Linked DNA regions of Macaca fascicularis. The protein of the gene in region 1 purifies or fractionates together with the protein of each later gene. This does not show direct contact. Links are inferred from orthologs where the notes say so. Each region holds a gene or a part of one and is shown in the gene's direction. Other genes may lie near its edges.

Evidence for each region.
Region 2: the proteins of KCNQ1 (region 1) and AKAP9 purify together in Homo sapiens (affinity purification with western blotting; 3 studies listed by BioGRID and IntAct, with this or other methods). This does not show direct contact. The link is inferred for Macaca fascicularis from reciprocal best matches to the Homo sapiens genes KCNQ1 and AKAP9.
Region 3: the proteins of KCNQ1 (region 1) and NEDD4L purify together in Homo sapiens (affinity purification with western blotting, with the first as the bait; 3 studies listed by BioGRID). This does not show direct contact. The link is inferred for Macaca fascicularis from reciprocal best matches to the Homo sapiens genes KCNQ1 and NEDD4L.

Annotation. Positions count from the first base shown.
Region 1 is NC_088388.1:2,508,415-2,512,060, forward strand, and holds part of KCNQ1 (potassium voltage-gated channel subfamily KQT member 1), read left to right. Parts: intron 1-1,162; coding exon 1,163-1,258; intron 1,259-3,512; coding exon 3,513-3,635; intron 3,636-3,646. UniProt on the Homo sapiens protein: Pore-forming subunit of the voltage-gated potassium (Kv) channel involved in the regulation of cardiomyocyte excitability and important in normal development and functions of myocardium, inner ear, stomach and colon.
Region 2 is NC_088377.1:129,252,066-129,255,711, reverse strand, and holds part of AKAP9 (A-kinase anchor protein 9), read left to right. Parts: intron 1-1,570; coding exon 1,571-1,753; intron 1,754-2,761; coding exon 2,762-2,962; intron 2,963-3,646. UniProt on the Homo sapiens protein: Scaffolding protein that assembles several protein kinases and phosphatases on the centrosome and Golgi apparatus. Required to maintain the integrity of the Golgi apparatus. Required for microtubule nucleation at the cis-side of the Golgi apparatus.
Region 3 is NC_088392.1:22,722,478-22,726,846, reverse strand, and holds the start of NEDD4L (E3 ubiquitin-protein ligase NEDD4-like), read left to right. Parts: upstream 1-1,554; 5' UTR 1,555-1,679; coding exon 1,680-2,831; intron 2,832-4,369. UniProt on the Homo sapiens protein: E3 ubiquitin-protein ligase that mediates the polyubiquitination of lysine and cysteine residues on target proteins and is thereby implicated in the regulation of various signaling pathways including autophagy, innate immunity or DNA repair.

The DNA of each region.
Region 1 (3,646 bases):
CTGTGCATAGACACAGTGTGGGACAGGCCTGCTTACTCAGCCCTGGGGGGTGGGCAGTGCTGCTGCCGCACCCCATGGAGGCAGAATCTTGTGCCTGGAGAGAGCACTTCCACGCTGTGGCTGGCCGGGGAGGGGGTTTGTTCCATGGCCTTTCCAGAAACCACAGATTGTTAGGTGATGTGTCTAGTTCCCAGTGCCCGTATGTGGGTGTATGTGTGTTATGTGTGTATGTGCATATGTGTTTATGCTGTGTGTGTATAATTTTATGTTACTTGTATACTATGGGTATGTGTATATGTATCGCATGGGTGTGTATTGTACCGTATATGTGCGTGCATACTGTGTATACGTATTGTATGTGCATATGTTGTATTTAGTATGTGTGGTGTGTTGTGTGCACATGTATGCATTATACATGTATATTAGTATGTTTGCATATGTGTATGTATCTGCGTTTCACAGGTATATATACTATACATCTATGTGCTGTGTGTGTGTGCACATGACATATAGACATGTTTGTGTTTGTGTTAGTGTGTGTGTTTGTGTACATTAGTGTGTTAGTGTTTGTGTGTTAGTGTTTATTAGTGTTTGTTAGTGTTTGTGTGTGTGTGTGTTAGTGCGTTAGTGTGTGTGTGTTAGTGCGTGTGTTTGTTAGTGTGTGTTAGTGTGCATATCTATTGTGTGTGCGTGTGCGTCACATATGCATATGGACCACGTGATCCCCTCTGTAGACCGGGAGTTCTCTAGCTTCTGGGTGGGTCCTTTGCATCCCATCAGCCGTCCTTGGGCAGGGCGGCAGCAGTGGTGACTGAGAAGGGCCGACTTCTCACTTGCGACCCCCATCCCAGTGGTATGACCCCTTCCTGGGTGCATACAGATGGGCCAGCCCACCTGGCCCCCAGAATGGTCCCTGGGAATGGGTTAGAGAGGCTCTAGCCCCGCCCCATGGGACTGGGCCCCTTGCTGGGGCCTGGGGTATAAGTTCTGCCCCCCATGCTGGCCCAGGACAGGCAGGCTGGGCCCGAGGTGGGACTTGGGGAACTTCCAGCACTGACCATGCCTGGCCTTCCCACAACTGTGACTGGTAACCATGTCCTGAGGCTGCACCCAGCTGGCAGTGGCCTGTGTGGACGGGACCCTCCTGTCCATTCCTTCCCAGGGGATTCTCGGCTCGGGGTTTGCCCTGAAGGTGCAGCAAAAGCAGAGGCAGAAGCACTTCAACCGGCAGATCCCGGCGGCAGCCTCACTCATTCAGGTGCGGTACCTGCAAGGCCCTAGTCACTGACATTTTGGTCACTGTTATTGTTGCGTCCAGCCCTCATGGCCACCTGTCGGAACCACCATTGGCCCCTGTGTCCGCTTGGCTGGCCTGTGGGGCATACCCTGCTTGTGGAAGCCTTGGCTTCTCTGGTGATGGGGTGAGCATGGGGCGCTGGAGCCTGTCTTCCTCCAAAGCCACTCCCATCAAGGGCCATACCCTGTGGGCTGGAGAGGAGGCACGGCCATGGCCATGCCAGGAGTGGACGTGGTTGGCTCTGAGGCTCCCTTGCGCTCCCATTCTCCCTCCCATTGCACAACAACCTGAGGGCTGAGTCTGGGAGTGGCAGAGCCAGGTGATTGTCCCCAAGGGAGGTAGGACCCAGCTGTGCAGTTGGTGCCTTCTGGAGGGCCTGGCATCCCTCAGGGCTCGGGAGGCCCTGGTGCCTGGAGGTGAGGGCTGGCGATGGACGGCATGGGCCTCCCTCTGGGCTCACAAGGCCAGTGGGTAGGGAAAGGCAGAGCCCTGGAGCATCATGGGCAGGAAGGTCCTGGAGGTGGGTGGGAGGCAGGCAGTACCAAGCTCTGGGACGCTGGGCTCTGGCTCTGTCACTCCAGGCTCTCCAGGACCCACCAGAGAATGGGACTGCCCTGTTAACATAAGCAAGGACTTAGCACAGAAGCCACTTGAGAATTGCATCCCTGTGGGTCTCTCTTGTTGGCCACCGCAGGGCCAGGGCTGCCCTGAGGAACAGCTGCTGAGGGGCCCGGAGGGTGGGCATTGCTAGGTTGAATGACAAGTGCCCGCTAGGGATAGGGCCTCTGCCCAGTGCATTGGCTGGGAGCAGTGTCAGCTCCTCTGGGCACACTGGGCCTGATGTCCCCCAGGAAGGCCCAGGGCCTGGGCAGCCCCTGCTGGCTGGGATGCCCCCTGCAGGCCTCCTGAGCTTGCTGCCCCAGGCAAGGCCCAGGCTATCAGGAGCAAGTCGCAGTCCTGCCAGGCTCCTGGCTCAGCTATCGGGGGGCTGTGAGCTCCCACCCTCAGCCTGACTTCACAGTTTCTCCTTCCCAGGATACCGTAAATCAGGCCCGTAAACCCACCTTGGTCCCAGCGTGAGCATGCTGGCCACCCACACCCAGCAGGGGACCACATTGGATTCCTAGTCCCACTCCCTGGGAACCACAGGTCCTGTGAAAGGGGGCTCCCTCGGAAGCTGCACACACTGTGGGAGGACTGGAGTGGGGGCCCCAGGTGACAGGCCTGCACAGGAGCAGGGCAGGGGTTGTGGGGTTTGCCAGGGTTGGGGGACCACGTGGAGTGCTCGTCCTGTATGTGTGATGCTCGGGCCTTGGAAGGCTGGGCTTGTGCCCTTGCCTGCCTGTCCCTGGGTGCTGGGTGGGAGTGAGGGCTGCAGGTGCCCCTCGCCAGCTGCTGTGTCTATCTGGGACTATCACCCAGGAGCCCACCAGTGTGGGGACACATTCTCCACTTGGCCCTCTCTCAGGCTCATGTGGCCAGTGATGACAAGGCCACCAGGATGTGTCCTCAAACAAGGCCCTGGGAGCCCCTCCTGCCCACCTGGACGCTGCACAACTTCCCCCCGCCAAGTCCCCTACCGATAGTGTCCCCTCCTCCCACTGTTCCCATGTGGTGCTGCCATAGGGTCTCTCTGAAATGCTGGCTTCAGAGCTGCACCCATGTGCCATCAGAGGCTCCCCCAACTGCAAGGTGGCACTCACAGGCCTCTAGGAGAGACCTCACCTCCTGTCAGCCCAAGGGACCCTGCCTCTCCCTGCCCCCTGTTCAGTACCTGCAGGTCCCGGACGACCTCTCTTTCTCAGCCCTTCCTTACTGTGTGGCCGCTGGTTGCCTATTTCTGCATTGGTCTCCTATGCACGCTGTGCACCCTGGCACCCGGGGACGATGTGCGACCTGCCCACCTTTGCGAGTCTTGCCTTTGGCTCAAGGCTGGCTCAGGGCCGGTAAAGCCCTTTGTGGTGTCCCAGCTGTGGGTAACAGTTGGCCCAGGCAGCGGTGAGCTGCCTGGTACAGCAAGGGACCAAGCCAGGTTGCCTGGGCAGAGGGTCTGGGAGCTGGGACCACGTCAAGCCTGTGACTCTGAGGTCCCAGACCCTGCCACCCAGAGGGGAGGGGGTCCGGCCTGGGGAACAGGGAGGGAGAGCTGTAGCTTCCATAAGGGCCCCCACTGGGTGGCTCAGCAGGTGACAGCCTCTCCCCTGACCGACCTCAGACCGCATGGAGGTGCTATGCTGCCGAGAACCCCGACTCCTCCACCTGGAAGATCTACGTCCGGAAGCCCTCCCGGAGCCACGCTCTGCTGTCACCCAGCCCCAAACCCAAGAAGTCTGTGGTGGTGAGTAGCCC
Region 2 (3,646 bases), on another chromosome or scaffold:
GTTGACCTTTTGCCGTATGGAGACAAGCTTCCTGAAAGAGTGATCTAGCTTCTATCCTCTCTACTCCGTGAAACACCCTTAGACGCCTACCAGTGTCTAAACAATTGACTAATCTGGTGAATCTTTTCAGTCTTTTTCTTGACTTCTTTGTAGCATTTGATACTTTTGATCTCTTTTATTTTCTTAAGACCTTCTCTTTCCTTGCGTGTCATGTCAGTATTCTAACATTTCTTCTGCTTCTTTCATCAGTTACCTTTATGGTTCCTCTTCCTACCCTCTTCCTTCTTTTCTGTAACCTATAACTATGAAAGCTCACACAGTCCAACACCCTGAGCTCTCACTAGACTTATTATTAAACAAATACTTATATTGAACACTTACTGTGTGCCAGATAAGTGCCAGATAGGTTCTGGAGATACAGTGAACAAATCTGACTAAAACCTCATCCTTATGGAGCTTATCTTTAGTGGACTGTGGTTCTAGTCTAAACCTCTGTCCTGTGTTCCAGGCTTATATTTTCTTTTTTGTTTTGTTTTTTGAGATGGAGTCTTACTCTGTCACCCAGGCTGGAGTGCAGTGGCGCAATCTCAACTCACTGCAACCTCTGCTTCCTGGGTTCACTCCATTCTCCTGCCTCAGCCTCCCGAATAGCTGGGACTATAGGCACTCGCCAGTAGGCCCGGCTAATTTTTTGTATTCTTTAGTAGAGATGGGGTTTCACTGTGTTAGCCAGGATGGTCTCGATCTCCTGACCTCATAATCCGCCCGCCTCGGCCTCCTAAAGTGCTGGGATTACAGCCGTGAGCCACCGCGCCCGGCCCAGGCTTATATTTTCAGTTAGTTACTAGACATTTTTCCTTAGGGAAATGTACCCCATAGTGACCCTATAGGAACCTCACAGGCACATTCCAAACTGAACTCCGTCTTCCCTTTCTCCTTCCTGCTCCAGACCCTCATTTCTAGTCATGATACCGCCCAGTTTAGAAAGCTGGAAGTCACCATAGACCACTTTCCTTCACCCTTCCCTGCACGTCTAGATAGTCACTAAGTCCTGTCCCTCTTATCTTCTAAATACCTCTCCCGCACACCCTTTACTTTCTGTCCCTTAGGCATTGCCTCCATTCAGGCTTTCAGCATTTCTTACCTGGCTGTTGAAACAACTTGCTGATAGGTCTACCTGACACGAAGATATCTTCCCTAATTTCCCCTGCTTTGTACATTACTACCAAAGGAATTTTTCCAACACATAAATTTTGTGTCGTATTTTTGCATCAAGCCTTTCATGACTCTCCATTGCCTACATTTAGGTCTGTTATTCATAAAGTAAAGCAATCTAGACTTAACAGGCAACCTATAACACCCCGAAAGGAATACACACTCGCTCAAGCCTGTGCGCCTTTTGCTTAATGTGCCCTTATCTTTTCTGCCTGGTAAATATCTACCTATTACTGAAGACTCAACTCAAGCACCAATTCATGAACTTTGTTGCTCTCGGTGCCTATTCACCCTTTATATGCATTATTCACATCCATTTGTGCTTAAGTGACCTTACACCATTTTATTTTTCCAGCCCAGCTTGGTGTCCCCAAGTACTTCTTGTGGCTCCTTGACTGAAAGACTACTGAGACAAAATGCTGAGCTGACAGGGCATATCAGTCAACTGACTGAAGAGAAGAATGACTTAAGGAACATGGTTATGAAGCTGGAAGAGCAGATCAGGTGGTATCGACAGACAGGAGCTGGTAGAGATAATGTATGTCCATTTTTAGCATCTCCATATATGAGAATTCGTGCGTGCTTGTCATTTCTGCTATCTAGTTCAAGTTTTAATCCTGTTAATGTAAAACTATCACGTACCTGATTCTTAGTAGGATCTGTAGAAAATTTTATAGGGATGACAATAATAATATTACTATTACTACTAAGTTACTAATAATTACTGTTATTTATTGGAAACCATCTCTGTACTCGACTCTGAGTTGTATACATAAAGAATGTCTAATCCGCATCCACCTTATACCTGAGAAAACTGAACTGAAGTCGTAGTCAAACCAAGATACATGTATCTCCAAAGCCAGATACTTTGCTACCTAGGCACCAACAACAGATACACAAAATGTTCAAATGTGAATCCTGACTGTTCTCTTCGGTCACTTATCAGTCATTGTGTTCATGACTCAAATAGAAGGTGCTGTTAAATTATGTCTTTCAGTCTGATAAATTACGCTGAGAATTTACTTAAAATTTTTCCATTTAAAAACAGGTATAAAATTAATTGCTAGTTTCCATAATCACCCAATATAAAGATAGAAAAGACCTGTAAGACAACTGTATGGTTAAATACATGATAACACATTTATGTGCCTTTTATAGAAATCCACTTATTATGTACATACTGGCTTGTTTTTTTCCCACTTCTCCAATACACTATTTCAGGCACAGGCTCAAAATTTGGACCCAAATGGTCTGTTAGGTCTCTTGATGTTTTTAGTTCAAAGCTCTGCTAATCTGCTAAACCTTCCCTGTGGCCAGGCTTTCTCAAGGACTTTTAGTTGTAAAACTAATGTATTTAGCAAAGGACCATGTACTTAGAGTTAGTGTATATGCATAATGTCAATTAAGATTGGCTTTGAACTTTGTCTAGGTGGGGTCAGAAAGTTGAGACTGCACCATCATTGAGCTATCTTTAATATGTTTAGCTCAGACTTTTCTTCAGAGACTTGTTCTTAAAAATCATGTAAGTAGTCTGTGGTCTTTGCAGTCTTCCAGGTTTTCATTGAATGGTGGTGCCAACATTGAAGCCATCATTGCCTCTGAAAAAGAGGTATGGAACAGAGAAAAATTGACTCTCCAGAAATCTTTGAAAAGGGCAGAGGCTGAAGTATACAAACTGAAAGCTGAACTAAGAAATGACTCTTTACTTCAAACTCTAAGCCCTGATTCTGAACATGTCACTTTAAAGGTAGGAGACATCTCCCATCTAAACATCACAGTTTGTTCTATGTTTTTGCCTTCTTTCATCTCTCACTGACCTTAAATAAATAGACTAAAGAAATTTAGGCCCAGGCACGGTGGCTCACGCCTGTAATCCCAGCACTTTGGGAGGCCAAGATGCGCGGATCACGAGGTCAGGAGATTAAAACTATCCTGGCTAACATGGTGAAACCCGTCTCTACCAAAAATACAAAAACAAAAAAAATTAGCCGGGTGTGGTGGTGGGCGCCTGTAGTCCCAGCTACTCAGGAGGCTGAGGCAGGAGAATGACATGAACCTGGGAGGCAGAGCTTGCAGTGAGCCGAGATTGCGCCACTGCACTCCAGCCTGGGTGACAGAGTGAGACTCCATCTCAAAAAAAAAAAAAAAATAGATGGTATTCAGGTTTTGTCTCTAGGTCTCTTTATTCAGTCTTTGTCATGAATGCAGGTCACAGAGGTTTGTGGAAAGGCATGCCCAGGACTGGGACCAGATTAACCTCTATTAATGGTCACAGTGACAGCATCCTGGGCTCGTGGTTCCACTTTCCCTGGTTTCGTCCCTAATAGACCAAAAGAATGTTATATGTAAGAGCATCATACTCTGTAAAATGGTAAGCCCTCTGAAAGCCTCCCTAGTGACTAATAATGAATGTTGTTAAAACTACCTTAAT
Region 3 (4,369 bases), on another chromosome or scaffold:
TGCCTAGTTTTGCCCCAGGCCATCTGCAGTGTGGTTACTATGCAAAGAATGCTGGTGTTGCTGTTTTGTTTTTCTTTGTTGGCTATTAACCCAGCGGAGACAATATGTGGCTATGGTAGTACTTGGAAGTTCTAGCATTACACAGACTAGCTTCCATTTCTCTCTAGAGGTCATTTTTGGCATTTAAAACACATGCTTTTAGAAAACAGATTTGGATGTATGTAAACACAGGGTTAATCCACCACACCCTGGATGCTAGGGCTATTGACAAAGTCATGCTTTGCAGATTTTAAAATAAACTTTTTGTCACTCTTGCAGCTTGGTATTTTCCCCTCCTATTTTTTCACCCCCTCTAAATAAACCTCTTTGTTAACTAATTGGTGTTTCTGGATCATAGAAAATAGTGAGTTTAAAATACAGCATATTTCCAAGCTAACTACAAATCTGAGGACAGTTTTTCGACTGTGCACCTTTCCTTCCATTTCTTAAGTCTTTTTTGGTCCTTTGCAAACATGGCAAGATTCCATATTTGTGTCCCAACTGTGGTAATATTGCTGACTTCGTACTGGAGAGCAGTCAGCTCTAGGCAGCATTTCTTCTGCATGGTATTTAAGTTAAATTATTACCACACACAAAAAAAATCCACATGCACTCCCTTCTTCAATTTTCCTTTTGTTTTTTGTTGTTATTGTTTGTTTTTTCGTTGACGTTTTCTTTCCTACCTGGCATATGGGAGACAATGTTTTCTCCAGCTGGGTTCCTTTTCTCTGGTACTTTGGTGTCTGCCAGTCATGTGTGAGCTACACACACGTATACACCTTTTAAATGAAAAATGCTGTGATAGCAGGAGGCCAACTGGGTGTGTAGCACGTCGCGCTCCCTCCCCTCCCTTTAGCTATTTTGTTACTTGTAGATCCTGGTCTAATTATTTAGCATTAAACGGACACTAACTCTGTGGGGTGTGTAATCGTATTTATAGTACTGTTTTATTAGTTTGCATTCCATCCTGGTAGTGTAGTGATGTCATAAATAACAGAAACATGGTATCCAATGCTTGGGAAGGGGTTTACCCGGTGGCCAAGCCATATTTTACTTGTCGTTATTCCATGTGTGGTGGGAGGTGGGGAAATACCGTGTGTGCTGTTAAACATGCCAGGTCCCTGCACAGGTTAGACAGAGTCCCAGCGCTGTGCTCCATTGGGAAAGAAATGCCCTGTGAATGTGATGTGGTTTAGATTTATAGCAGCGTGGCTTGCAGTGTGTTTGCTGCCTTAGTCAGCTGTGAGAGCGCCCTGCTGGGGCCACTCCTTTCTGATGGAAAAGCAGCAGCTGGGAAGGTGCTGTTTCAGGCTCTTGCCGTTTAAAAAAAAAGCGAGTGGGGGAAAACTCCTCTAAGTCCAGAAGCTGGCATTGGAGGGGGAGAGCGCGGTCATGTGGTTCTGGCCACCCTACCCTCTGTCACAGTGTGGATGAGAGCTTTTTGCTCTTATCCAATCATGCCTGGAATGCCGCTTGCCACTTGGGTTATTTCTGCTATCTGTCGCTCCTGGTGCCGCAGTGCTAACAGTTTGGCAGATGGGACACTTTTTCTTGGAGTTTGTGTCTTTGGTTTGTGACTTCTGGCAGTGCCGGGCCTGTTGTTGCCGCTCGCCCTCGCCCTCCTGGCCCCCCTGGTCACCATGGCCCATCGGCTTCGGTTTCATTTTGGCTCTGGTCGCAGCAACACAGCCCCCGAATCAGAGATCCTAGACCAGGAGAGAGAAGACGACTTCTTCATGGCATTCCACACCCTACCACGGAGGAACAGCCCGCACCCCTTCGCCCAGAACGTAGGGGAGGATGGCGACGGAGGCCTGCAGGGAGGCGTGGGCGCGCTCAAGCGGAGCTCGTCCATGTTCATCCCGCAGCTCCTGACCAGCATCGACGCCCGCCCCACGTGCAGCTCCTCGGTGCAGATCTCCCTGCAGCGCAAGGCCGCGGACGGGGCCACGGATGGGTGCGGGCCGCCCGAGGGCGCCGACGATGGGCCTCCGTGCACCACGCCGGACCCCGGGGACCAGGCCTCCGCCACCGCCACCGCCACCGCCACCACGAGGGCCTCGCCCCAGAGCGGTTCCCGGGAGCCCTCGCCGAGGGACACCCCCGGGAACTCCCCTCCGAGGGCAGCCCGGGACCCGGGGCTCCAGGTCAACGGCACGTGCGGCGGCCGCCGCCGCGTGCGGTGCCCTGGCCCGGTGGACTGCCCCGAGGAGGCTGCCCCGGGCCTGCGCATCCAGCACCGCGCCTCCAGCGCCGACGTGCGCCAGGTGAGGCTGCTGCCCCTCGGCCCGGATGGCCAGGGCGGCCCAGCGGCGGCAGAGCCCAGGCGCTGGTCCCTGCAGCACGTTCCAGATGCTTCTGGAAGCTCCGGGAAGCGGTGTTTTGTCTTCCAGTTGCAGCAGCCCCAGCAAGGCGCTCTGGGGTCAGGCAGTGACCTCAACTTTGGCTTCACGGGCACAAAGGGGGACAGGTTGGTGAGGTATCCCCGCATTCGGCTGGAGAGGAGCACCTCGTACCCCACGCAGCCCCGAAGCGAAAGAGGGAGCCCCACGGAAGATCGGGGAGCCCCGGAGGCACCGCCTCGGGCTGGCAGGATGGCTCCCGAAATCCGCAGGACGAACTCCGCAGAGAGGACTCCGCAGGGCCAGGGGTGCACATTTAAGATCAGGCAGGATCAGAACGCGGGGCAGCAGCATTTTAGAATTCTTGTAACCCGGGGGCCGGAAGAAGCTCCCCAGAATCCCGAGGAGAAAAGCGCCAAAAGCCCTGTTTCCACGGGAGCTGACGCCACGGTAAGTTCACGGCTTGTTTACATGTGTTTACTGATTTCAACTTCGATGCTTACTCTGCGGCGTAACCAAAATAAACCTCACCCTCTGTCCCGGGAGTTTCCCTGCTTCAGGCCAGCGGATCTGAATGTTTGGCCGAGTTCTGGCACGATGATTTGTGGTCCAGAGTTTGGTGCGCAAAACACCATTTCTGCAAATGTCTTCTGTAGGTCCTCAAAGTCAACCAACTTTGTCTGTTTGGGAAATCCAAGCAGAATACCTTCCCCCTGCTTTTATTTTTCTGAATAGAAGAATTTTGAATAAAATTTATTACTTTAATCTGCCAAAAACCAAGTCAGTGCCCCAACATGTTGATGGTGGAAATGCATTTAAAAAGCTGCTTGCAAATATAACCTGCGACAATACTTTAAAAACAATCAGTTCTCGGAAAGGTGAGGATATTGCAAAGGACCTGAGTTTCGTCTCTTAATAGTTAAAGAAGGTGAATGTAAAGTTTGGTGAAATATGATTATTTGTCATGGCCTTTTTGCTGAGGGGGTCAGGTCAGTCGTTGTTATATAATTCGCTTTGGGTTTTTTTGTTGTTTTTTATTTTTTTGTCCCATTAAGTAATACTGAACGAGAGTAGTGTCACTTGTGGCATAGCGACATTACTGTCCCACAAGTGACACTACTGAGATACTAAGAGATGTGTTTTTAAAACAACTGGGTTATGGCCCAAGGCTAGGGGAAACTGACGGGGACTCATTAATGGTCAGATGGCATGCCGTGCAATTTAACACTGTCCACTTGAGTGTCCAAGCCGGGGATGCTGTATATAGAATAGTAAGTACCCTGTCTCCAGCTGTGGAAATAGACGCCTTAGAACAGATTCTGGCCTTCCTGTTTCTCTGTTCCTGATCGCTCCCTTTCAGTGAAATGGAGTACAGGGAGACAGCTGCACACTCCATCCGACCAGGCATATGATGACTCTGCAGCTTTCGTAGAGTGGGATGAAAAGTTTAATCAGTTCGGTTTCTTTTAGTAGTAACCACTAGCCAGTGAGTGCTTTCTCTTAAAGAACAAGCTCCTTATATTTTGAATTGGATATTTTTTTCTCCTGAATTTCATGTGACTGCCAATTTGAGGATACGATTAGTAAATGTCTAGGGGACTTTTTGTTTGGATTTCACTTGTGAATAGTGATTTAGAAAAGTGAGTGTCTGAGTATTACTCTAGAATTGTATTGTCTTTTATTGCTTTGTGTTCAGAAATACGTTTCGTCTTTTAAGTAAACTTTGTCACTCCTCTATCATTGGTTGTCATCATTTTGAAGATACAATCAGATGCTTAATGAAAATTTGTTTTTCTTCATCTCTTTCTTTCCATGTATCTCCTTTCTTTCATTATCTCAAACTCTTCTGTTGGGAAACAGCTAAGTGCTTTGCCTTGGTCGGAACCTATACCATATATTACACAATGGTACAAATTTTGACAGAGTTTTGATATTATAGTAGCCTTTAACCCCCACCCCAACAAGTTACCATCATGACAGTTGTAGGC